Linked DNA regions of Elephas maximus indicus. The protein of the gene in region 2 interacts with the protein of the main gene of each other region in a pairwise test. Links are inferred from orthologs where the notes say so. Each region holds a gene or a part of one and is shown on either strand. Other genes may lie near its edges. The genes, in order: ARF3, ARFIP2 and MAL2.

Region 1 (3,748 bases), on a different chromosome or scaffold from region 2:
ACATATTGGTTGATTTTTCCATAAAAGAACACGCTGATTGACACAGGTCAGGGATTTAGGTTCTTGGGTTCCATTATTTTAGTCCTTGATCAGTATTTCAGGATTCTCCATTTCCTGGGCCACTCTTTCTATTTAGTTAGCTCTATGTTAAATGTCCGCCTCTGAGTATCTGTTTCAGAATGCACTGTATTAAGGTCCAGATTGTGATATCTTTGTAATTCTCCATCTACCGCATCTGTTGCAAATATAGGTAGAGTACTAATAAAGCTTTTTGATAACAAAAAGACATGGGGAGCGTTTAGAAAGAGTCTCACGAATGTTTGGAAGCTTTGGTACGTAGTATGAGAAAGAACTGACTGAGGTGGGGATTTGACAAACGCATAAGAGCTTTGTAATAGACTTCTGCAAGGGATCTGCCACACCATATGCATCAGAAAGGACATGCTTCAAGATTTCAGGGATCCACCATTTTCAGCATATTCCTGAAGAAAGGTGAGATGGCTGGGTGTGGCAGTTCTCCTGGTACCTTTTAGAACTCCGTTACTGATGAGACCCTGGCATAACCTTTCCTTTATTAACTTATGTACAGGAGTGTCAAGCATGAATGTTTAAACTTTAGCCTGAGTTTAGAATGTAGTGGAGTATTTGTTCTCTGTTGCAGTGGTTTTTGTCCTTTCTTTTTTTTTAAGGCTTTGAAACTTTTCCTTAAATAAAATCTTGCTTTTGTTTATAAAATGGATAAAAGTGGAGCTGCTCTGGTGGTACTGGGGAGTTGGGAGAATAATTAGAGCCCTCATATGATTCCTCCTCCCCACCCAGGCAACCTCTGAATCCTGTCCAAGGAACCTAGGGCTCTGAGAACATGGAAACCACATCTCCAGTTTGTCACATACAGGAAAAGGACTGGGGATCATCTATAGAATTCTGTCTTTCTCAGCCTCTCAAATGCTTTGCCACCGTAATGAGAGCCATGCTGTTCAACAAGAAGCATGTCAATCACTAGCTACAGGTCAGTCATAGTGCTGGATCCCGGGGACACAAAATAGAATAAAGCATGGTCCCTGTTGGTAAGGGGCTCATAGTTTTAGTGAAGTACTTCCTAGCTTTTTCCCCGTCCTGGCATATGCAGAAAATAGTAATAGTGATGCACACACAGCTGCTTGAAACCTGAAATGACTGGCCCAAGGGCTCTAGCCATTCCATTCCCTGCCCAGCCATCTAGTAGCTGCTGGGATCAGTATCTCCACCTGACCTATAACACGTTAGAGGCACATTGTTTGGGAAACATCAGCTCTGGAGAGAGAAACAGACAAAGACGAATTAAACATACTATGGTAAGTCCTAGAGTAGAAGTGTGTTTGAGGTGCTGAGGGAGCCGACAACTCTTATTCCCCAAGGTAGGCAGTTTTCTGTTCATCCCTTTTTTTTTTTAAAACCCGTTGCCGTCGAATCAGTTCTGACTCAGTGACCCTACAGGACAGAGTACAACTGCCCCATAGAGTTTCCAGGGAATGGCTGGTGGATTCAGACAGCTGACCTTTTGGTTAGTAGCCGGGCTCTTGACCACTGTGCCCCCAGGGCTTCCCATATCCATAAACTATTCTATAATGGTTGGCCTTGTCCAGACCTTGGCTTCCTGTTTGATCTCTTTGCTGTCAGCTACCATCTTGACCTACTCTGGGGGACCAAATTGGAAATAAAGGTTTAGGGCTTTAGGCTAACTATGTTTGAATTTCAGTTGATTTTGCAATTGGGCAAGCACAGTTTTCTGGATAAGTAAGGCTATAGATGTGGGGATTGAAACAGCCATAGAATATCAGAAACAGTTGTAAACTGGTCAAATTCTCAGAATAGGACAAGCTGAAAGCTTTGGTCAGAGGGCAGTGCCACAGAATATTTTAAAGAAACAAATGAGTTTTTATCTGGTCATTGTTTCGTTTGGCTAGGCCAGGAATTCTGAAATAGACCCTGAATGCTCTCTCCTGACTCAGTTGCTGAGGGTTGTTCATGGAAAAGCTAGACCCTTCCCAGAGGGTTGAGTCTCCAACAGACAGGGACGTTCAGGATCCTCCTTTGCTTGGTAGCTGTGGCCTCCTTCAGGTGTTTCTGTTTTGGAGTCTTCTTGAGAACCCTTTTTGTCTCTGGTTAGGACTAGAAGGGAAACTGGCATAACATTTCTGGCCTGAGCCTGAACACTACTACTGTAATTGAGTTAAGCGGGGTCTAATTTTATTTGGATATGTTCTAGTTTATACCAAGGTCCTCATTGATTGCCTAGTAGTTCTGTAGGTTCCTTTCAGGCTTTATCTACAGCCTTTCACCCTCTCTCCTTTTTTATGCTGTTTCCTCACTGGTGCCTGTATATCTTGCCCTCTTGATTTCCCTTCTACCCATCTTATTTCGTAGTTTCATTCCTGGCTCTTTGTCTGCCCACTACTTTAACTGTTGATGTGTCCCAGGTTTCTACATTTGACCTTTTCTCCCATCCCACTGTATACACTCTATATCAGTTAGGATGTTTCAGGTGCAAAAGATAGAGAACACATATGTGGGTCAAACAATAATGGGATTTATTAAATCACATAACAAGTCTAGGGATAGACACTTCTTCTTTGTTTGATTTTTTAATCCACCAGCTTGACAATGTCATTAAGGACCCAAGTTTTCCCCTTTTTTCTGCTCTGACATCCTAGGGTTCTCATGTCTGTCCCCTCATGGTTTCAAGATTACTCCAGCAGCTCCAAGCATCATCCTTACATATCAACATCCAAAGGCTAGAGAGAAAACAGTGCCATATGTCCTTTTTTTAAGGTTGAGAAAAACTTTTCCAGATGCTTCCAGCAGACTTTTACCACATCTTATTGACTAGAATTAGTACATGCCCGTTCCTGACCCAATCCCTGGCAAGAGCAATGGAATGCCCAGATTCTTTAGGTTAATCGGTTCATTGCCTGGGCTAGAGAGAGGCCATCTTGCTTGCAGCACATCTCATATCCCCCCCCTCCATCATCTGAACAAAATAGAAATTCTATTAGAAGAGAGAAGGGGGAGAGAATGGCTGTTGGGGAGGCAGCCAATATTTGTTGCCACCCTAGGTTATCTTGGTTCCTCTTACAGTTTCAGTTACCATCTGCACAGATGATTCTCAAATACCCTGCCCAGACTTTTCTACTGAGCTTTGTACCTTAACGCCTCAAAATCAACGTTTAATATAAAAAAAAAAAAAAATCCCCCGCCCCCCCTCCGCCAGAACTCTTCCTTTTGTATTTTTTATCTGGGAAATGTCACCCACTCACCCAGGCCAGAAACCTGGGAGTTATCTTTGACTCTTCTTCCTTCTACATTTAATCAGTCATTAAATCCTGTGGCTTCTACCAAATGTTTCCAATCTGCCCTCTCCTCTCTAATGCCACCCCTAGTTAAGAACTCGTAATTTCTCATCTGTGTTACTGTTACCCAAGTGCTCTCTCTGCCTCTAGTCTTTCTCCCGTCTTATTCATTCCATAAACTGCTGCCAGAATGAGCTTTCTAAAGTACATACCTGAACATGTTACTCAGCCTGGTCTTTAAGGCTCTTTAAAATCTAGCCCTCCTGCTTATCTCTCCAGCATCATCCCTCATCACTTTTACTTACCATGCTGCATCCAAATAAACTACCTTCTATTTGCACCTGATTTTAGCTAATAAAGAGTTCTATCTCTAACTCAAGTCTCTTATGCCTTCTTTGCACATGCAATTCCCTGTCCCC
Region 2 (3,748 bases):
GTGGCCCAGGGAAATGGTAGAAGTTCCAGAACACTCCAGAATTCTTACAAGTTTCATCTCCGTTCTATGTCACTAATTTCATAGGAGGTAGCACCTAGAAGCCCTGTGGTTTCTTGGTTATCTCCTGCCTTCCCTAGACTTGGCAGAATCCTTTCTTAAAAGATATAGTCCATGAAAAAACAGTTATGAACTAACACATACTTGGCTCACAAATGAGCCATTTCAGTCTCAAGGACAGCTAGACAGGGCTCATATTTTGTCATCTGGGCAGGAACCAACATCCTGTTGCTCACACCAACCTTAAAACTGTATCCACAGACCCTACTTTAACCAGGAGCCTGGGATACTGAGGTTTTCCTTCTCCACACAGAAGGCAACTTCTTGGCAGCCAGAGCTGAAGTTAATAGATATGCACTAACTGACAAAACAAATGATGGTGCCAATAAAGTGGGTTCCTCCCCTCCTCCCCCCCACCCCCCAATGAAACACAGTGAAAAAGCAGGTTTATTAGCTCCAGGAAAAGGAGCAAAGGTACCCATCTCTCAGGCTACTCCTCACGTTCTCTGTACAAGCTCTACTCAGCCCAAGGGTCCGTCCAGCCCCTCCCCTTCTGGGGTGGGAAACAGCTAGGTGCCAGATGGCGAGGCTCCAGGCCGTTCAGCAGCAACACCTGGCATGGCTGAGGCAGCCTCATAGTCTGCGATGCGGCGCTGTACCAGGGCAGGCATGAGCTTCACATAAGCGGCCATGAGACGGTGGTTGGAATGGATCAGCTTCCCAGCACAGCTGTGCAAACAGGCCTCCTAAAAAGAAGATAGGGTGGAAGTAGGGGCCAAAGGGGTCCTGTCAGGCCCCATCTCCTTCCTTCCCCAACCCCAGCCTAGGGGTGAAGGCCGTGAAAAGGCCAAGGCCAGAAGTGGAAATGAGTGGTGGGGTTGGGAAGCTGACTACCGTGAACTTTGAGGATCGAGGATAACCTCCCTAACCCTACTCAGGCCCCCACCTCCTCAGCGTCCAGAGCTCGGTGGTGCAGGCTGGGCACGCAGCGCTGGAAGCAGAGTTCTGTCATCCGATTGTAGACCAACAGGAAGTCCCGCAACTGCCGGTAAAAGGGACCAGGAACTCAGCGATAAGGTGTCCCTCAATTCAGCCCAGCCTCCCGGGGTTGCCCTGGGTCGCGCACCACAGCCTGAAGTTCTCAGCCCTCGGATCCCTGGCTCTTTGGGGTACCCGCGACGTTAACAGGCATGGGAGCTGAAGGTATGGCTCTGGAGCAACTTAATCCCGACTCACGTTTCTCAGCTGCTGCTGCGGCTCCATCACGCCGCCGCCGCCCGCCTACATCTCTTCCGTTTCAGCTTGAAAACACCCCGGAAGTAATCTCTGGCCGTTCCCCAAGGACTGAGGGGTTGGCTCAAGGATCGCCCTGCCCTCGGCAGCCAACGTCACTTCCGCCCTTATAATCTGCGACGTGGCCGGCTTCTTCTGCCCGGGAGGGGACGTCACTTCCGCCGAGTCCCTGACCTGCGGCTAGGATCGCGACGGGAACTGGAGCCCGAGGTCCCCGCGCCGCCCGGGTCTGGCGCCCTGAGGGGAAGAACGGCCCGGCCCGAGGTGAGAGGGACATACTTGGGCGAGAGGGAGTTGAACGCACAAACCTGAGGGCAAGATGCTCCTGAGCACTGGGGAAGGATGAGCGCACACCTGATGCCCAGGTGAATGGGGGAGGGGCGGGGACTCACACACCTGGGAAGACATAACTGACTTTGGAAGGGATCACTTATGTCCTGGAAGGAAGAGGCTTTTACCAGAGGCGGGAAACATACACCAACTGATTCAACTAAGGCCTGGTAGGGAGGGCCTGAGAAGGAGAAAGAGGTGCGTGGGATGGAGGAAGGAGCGACCACTTGAAGGAAGGGGGAAGAAACACTAAAGGAGTGGTAAAGGACAAGCAGTGCAGCACATACCTGAATGGCGAGTGGGCACCAGAGCCCTGGGAAGGGGTTCATCTCCTGGTGGGAGGAGGGGGGAAGACACACCTGAATGGAATAAGCTCCAAGAGGGCACAGACTTTATCTCTGTTGTTTACTGCTGTATTCCCAGGGCCTCAAATCGTGCCTGACACAATGCAGGCACTCATCTAGCATCTGTTGAATGAATGAATGATTACCTGAGTCCTGGTGGGCTTGGGAGGTTATGAGAAGACACCTGAGACCTAGGTGTGCATGTATAAAAATGTGCACCTTGGAGAGGATAAATTCATATATCTAGGGAAAGGAGTGGTAGCTGAACCCAGGACATGCTTAAGTGCTGGGGATAACCTCTAAAACCTCAGAAATGGCAAGAGAGGTCTTCCCCTTCTGGAGTGCTGGCAACTTCCCAAAACCACCTGTGTTGGGCTTTGCAGGGCCCAGGGGTGGAGACTTTGACTCCAGTCCCTGCCCCAGCCATGACGGACGGGATCTTAGGGAAGGCAGCCACAATGGAGATCCCTATTCACGGGAACGGTGAAGCTGGGCAGCTTCCTGAGGATGATGGGCTGGAGCAGGTGCTTTTCTTTGATTCTTCTCCTAATCAAATCCCAACTCAAACTCTGGGCTCTTATTCCATTCCAGTAGCCTTTCCCTTATCTAACTCCTGTCAATCTTTTTATAAATCTTCATTCTGATTCTGTGCAGATATCCCTTGCTCTCTCTGTGATGCTTCAATCCAACCTTGTTCCCACCCCCAAAATGATTCAGCTGCCCCTATGTTCCTGAAGCCTCCCTCTTCTCTGGCCTATAGGACCTCCAGCAGGTGATGGTGTCAGGACCCAACCTTAATGAAACCAGCATTGTGTCTGGTGGCTATGGGGGCTCTGGTGATGGACTCATCCCAACAGGTATGAATAATCAGAGACAAAAAGCTTGAGTCCACAGTGGGGACAGGAATGGTTCTGGGGAGCTTAGGATATGCCTAGGGACACTTGAATTATGTCTGGCGGTCTTGGGAACTCCTGCCAGTATGAACCCCAATGTATTCAGCCGAAGACCAGCTGCCAGCGTTGGCCTTCTGCTACCACTTGCTACTTAGCCCCTCAGATGCACCTTTTTATCCTTTTTCGACTGCCACCACCTGAGCCAGGTTAAGATGTCTAGTTCACAGGAGTTCCCTTGGTTTGGAGCTTAAGACTTATTTGGAACTTTGTGAGACTTCTCGGGGTTTTACTTCAGACTCTAAAGTTTAGAGGAACAAACAGCCCTGAACCTTACACAGACTGGGATTCCACATGGGAAAGTCACCAGGTTTCCTGTTACCAGATCCCATCATCATTGACCCCATCAGAAGATGGCCAGAGGAACTCATGGAGATGTATGCTGGGATTTAGGTCTTGGGGTGCAAGGTACTAGTTCCCCCTAGTGAGCAGGAGGATCTCATTGTGTCTGAAGCATTCAGCTGCTTCAGAGATGTCATTTTTATGTGCTGGGAGGGAAGTATGGATGGGGCCACAGAGGTGTCTGGTTGTATCTGAGAGAGGCTGGTGTCAGAGAACTTGGTCCTTTAGGGTCTGGCCGGCATCCATCTCACAGTGCCACTCCCACTGGCCCTGGAGATGAGGTGGCTCGGGGCATCGCTGGAGAGAAGTTTGACATCGTCAAGAAATGGGGCATCAACACATACAAGGTGGGACTCAAACAACTTTTCCTATCTTCCAAACTTCCTTGGGTACCCTTTTCCCTTCTCCCCAGACCCCAATGTCCCATCTATG
Region 3 (3,748 bases), on a different chromosome or scaffold from region 2:
GGAGAAATTGGAGGGAAAGAAGGGATAACCAGCGCCAAGCAAGTCCAAAACCCAGCAGAACAATTTACATGAGCTCTCTAAGGCTTGAAAATAATCCTCTGTTCTTGAGACCATCTAGGCAGTGGCCCCGTCCTCCACACTCTGGTGTTGGCCATGCTCTCTGGATTCTGGGTAGAGGCCCCTGGGCCCTGGGCTTCAGCTCCACCTTCCAGGTCCACTGGGAGGGCAATTCTGCTTGTCATCAGATAATATTTAAGGCGTCCCCATGAGTCTGGGGCACTGGACAGCAACTGACAACAACTGTCTTTGCTAAGCTCTTTTCTCATGTTATATCATCCAATCCACACGTTCTTTGAGGTAGGGACCTTCATCCCCACTTCACAGAAAAGGATACCAAAGGCGAGCAAAACAGCTAGTTACCTTCGGGGATCCAAAGCTAGGTGTTAGAGCTGTGAGGCATCGGACTCCAACGTGCCACGTTGCCTCAGTGGCGTTTTAAACCCTCCCCCCATGGCCTCATATAAAACGCATTCACCCTACTTTTTAGGTGTGGCTGGTGACTTCAATTTTACCTTCTGAGTCACAGACCCACAACCAGTCCTACCGTTGAATTGAGGAAAGGAGAAGGGACTGTAAAAGTTGGATGGAGGACAGGTGGAAGAGAACAGGTGGAACCAAGAGAACGGACAGAAGAGAAAATAAAGACCAGGCGGCCTTCAGAGGCTCCAGGGAGCGCAGGGTGGTGGCCCACGGGGGAGAGGGAAACAAGAACCTAGCACTGAGAATTGTGCCAGGCGACGGCCACACCTGTGCACGTGACCGCGCGGGCGCCGGGGCGGAGGCGCGCTCACCTGGGCCCACGTGACGGGGCGGGGCCGCCGCGAGTCGCAGCCCCGCGCGGCCACGCCCCCTCCCGCGCGGCGCGCCCGGACCCCGCGGACCCGAGCGGCGGCGGCGGCGGCGGCGGCGGCGGCGGCGGGAGCCCGGCCGGCGGAGGCGGGAGGCGGCGGAGACGGCTCGCGGAGACGCAGAAGTGGTAGCTGCAGCATGTCGGCCGGCGGAGCGTCAGTCCCGCCGCCCCCGAACCCCGCCGCGTCCTTCCCTTCGCCCCGGGTCACTCTGCCCGTCGGCTTTGACATCCTGCGAACCTACTCCGGCGCCTTCGTCTGCCTGGAGATTGTAAGTGGGGCAGCCTCGGTGCGGGGCGCACCGGGGGAGCGGGGACAGGCGCGGCATCCTTGTGTCTTGGCTCCCTCTACCTCCCCGAGCTTCCCTCCCCTCCATGTGGCCTTCCCTGCGTCCTCCCCCCAGGTCCTCGCCGTGTCCAGCGCAGCCGGAACCTGGCGGCGGCGCAGTCACCCGGGCCCTCTCGCCTGGCACCTGTTACGCTGGCACCTGCTCCTCCGCCGCTGGCAGGAATGGCCTTGAGAGAGGGAGCTGGCGGCCTGTTGAGGCCGAGGATTGGGGGCTTCTAGGGCAAAGGGGTGTTTGGACTTGGGGGCGCCGTCAGAGACCCACGGCGGCTTGGCCAGGGGCCACGCTTGGCTAGAGTCAGAGCAGGCGCTCTTGACCTCGCCTGTTGCTAACCTGCCATTTTGTTGGGTGGTGAGAAGTTGTAGTCGATGACTGGGTGACCAGAGGCTGCCAGGATCGGATAGAGGGGACGAGAGGCACCAGGAAGAGGAAAGAGAGGGCAGAAGACCTGGACGTGTCTTTTTTAAAATTTTTCCTTGCAATTTTTAGTGCCCTTTGGGTTGGGGAGAGGCGCGGGTTCAGGACGCAGGGCAGGGAGAAAGGTGAGGTATGTACATGCACTTGACAGTTCCCTAACCAAGTGGGCATGAGAATGGTGGAGGAAAGGTGGAAACGGGGCTGTCAAGTTCCTCGCTGCCGGCTGTTGCGCCTTCTTCCTTGTCTAAGCACACAGTTTCGCCCAGGTAGAGATGGGGTCACCAGGGCTGTCATGCAACCTCTTTAGACTAGATAGAAACTTTTTTTTTAAGTAATTTTGTAGAGCTGGACGCTTTTGAAGCTTATTGTGGACAAGGGGGAAGTGTGCAAATAAAAATTGGGCAACGAGCTTGCATCATGCCTTGAGAATGGCAAATAGTGAAATGTTAGGGAGTCTGCCTTTCCTGCAGGCTGGTTTTGTTTGCTCCGTTTGGGAGTTTTCATCTCTCCCTTCACCCCCTCCTTTGGGTTTGCATAACCTGGATTTGGGTCGCTTCGGTTTCACTTTTGGGCTGTGGGGCTGGAACACCTGGTGAGCATTGGTTTCCTGCCCTACTATGCTTAGATGGCTGAGGCATCGTATGTTAAGTTTAGCTCAGATTTGAATCTGCAAAAGGAGACACATATGAGTTACAGGCTAAGTCATCAGTAATGGCAACCTGACTGTGAGTCTAAGAAAGGCTGCTTTGAGTTTGAGCCCAGATCAGAAGCATCTAAATGCTTCTGATGACATCCAGGTGAGCGAGAGCAGGGCGATGTCATTCGGCTGGCTGAGCTGCTTGGGGAGGGAGACAAGCTAAAAAAATAGCAAGATCTGTGATGAAAAATTTTAAGAGCTCGGCCGCTTGAATCCGCCAGCAGCACCTTGGAAACCTACTACTCTGTCTTATAGGGTCTACTCTGTCCTGCAGGGTCCCTATGAGTCGGAATGTACTCAATAGTGGTGGGAATGGAGGCTGCCTTAGTCCTGTTGTTCCCCAAACTCCAGCTGTTTGCATACTTCTTTTATAAGTGTCTGCCATATCCGCATTCCAGTGTGCTAGAATTTACATAATGTTCACTTAAATAGACTCTACGGTACCCACCTTATCCTCATTCTAAGTGTTAATATACATGAAATCTCAAATTAGATATGCTGATTATATTTTTAGTACATATTCAAATATGTATATTTCTACATATTAAATCTGTATTCGTGTATCCACAGCTTATCTATATTTACATCTAGATATAGATATATGAATAAAGAAGGCTTATCCACGTGCCATCCAACCAAGAGCCACCTATGGTCATGTCACACTTTTGATAACAGTGCCTAACTCTGAGGGGAAAAACTGGAAGGTGGCTCATTCAACTTTCTCTTCCCCTGGGTGCCCATATTTCTTTTTGATCTAGCCTAGTGGTTGATTCTCGACTGCCCCTGTACCTAATCACTTGAACAGTTTTTAAAAATACAGTTGCCAGCCCCAGACTAATTTAATAAGAGTCCCTGGGGGTGTGCCCAGAGTCAGCTAGGCTTTTTTTTTTTGAAAGCTCCCCTGGAGATTCTGATTCACAGCCATGGCTCGAACCATAGATGGAGCTCTTCATCAAGACTCTATAGAGAAGACAGCTCTTCTCTTGCAAAGGTGAACTCTGTCATGTGCTAAAGCTGCTTTCCACTCCCCATCCTAGGAGGGATCCCAGTGTCCCAGAAGTATCCAGTCCATTCTCCTTATCTCTTCATTTCCTCTGGCTTCTTTCCCCTGAGACCAGAGCTTCAAACCCATTAATTTCCCAGTCCGGCCCCCTGCTGAGAATTTGGATTTCTCCGGTAGGTATACTGAATCGGAATCTACATTTTGACAATATCCCTCAGGTGATTCTTATATAGAATAAGTTTTGAGAACACTGCTATGCTAGTGGTTCTCGGAATTGGTCCCTAATCAGCAGTATTAGGATTGCTCGGGAACTTGTTAGAAATGCAGATTCTCAGCAGGGGTTCGAACCTAACAGAAGCAGTTCAAAGCCCCACCTG

What was found.
Region 1: the proteins of ARFIP2 (region 2) and ARF3 interact in a two-hybrid assay, tested with the Homo sapiens proteins (2 studies listed by BioGRID and IntAct). The link is inferred for Elephas maximus indicus from reciprocal best matches to the Homo sapiens genes ARFIP2 and ARF3.
Region 3: the proteins of ARFIP2 (region 2) and MAL2 interact in binary tests that used the Homo sapiens proteins (3 or more experiments, as listed by UniProt). The two-hybrid records come from large-scale screens. The link is inferred for Elephas maximus indicus from reciprocal best matches to the Homo sapiens genes ARFIP2 and MAL2.

The regions. Positions count from the first base shown.
Region 1 is NC_064822.1:104,375,862-104,379,609, reverse strand, and holds the start of ARF3 (ADP-ribosylation factor 3), read left to right. Parts: upstream 1-832; 5' UTR 833-945; coding exon 946-1,009; intron 1,010-3,748.
Region 2 is NC_064825.1:60,136,332-60,140,079, reverse strand, and holds the start of ARFIP2 (arfaptin-2), read left to right. Parts: upstream 1-1,502; 5' UTR 1,503-1,715; intron 1,716-2,407; 5' UTR 2,408-2,449; coding exon 2,450-2,548; intron 2,549-2,784; coding exon 2,785-2,881; intron 2,882-3,544; coding exon 3,545-3,663; intron 3,664-3,748. Other genes in the region: TIMM10B (mitochondrial import inner membrane translocase subunit Tim10 B), read right to left, coding at 627-803, 1,004-1,099, 1,294-1,320. UniProt on the Homo sapiens protein: Plays a role in constitutive metalloproteinase (MMP) secretion from the trans Golgi network. May have important functions during vesicle biogenesis at certain cargo subdomains, which could be predominantly utilized by secreted MMPs, such as MMP7 and MMP2.
Region 3 is NC_064833.1:23,295,950-23,299,697, reverse strand, and holds the start of MAL2 (protein MAL2), read left to right. Parts: upstream 1-954; 5' UTR 955-1,047; coding exon 1,048-1,179; intron 1,180-3,748. UniProt on the Homo sapiens protein: Member of the machinery of polarized transport. Required for the indirect transcytotic route at the step of the egress of the transcytosing cargo from perinuclear endosomes in order for it to travel to the apical surface via a raft-dependent pathway.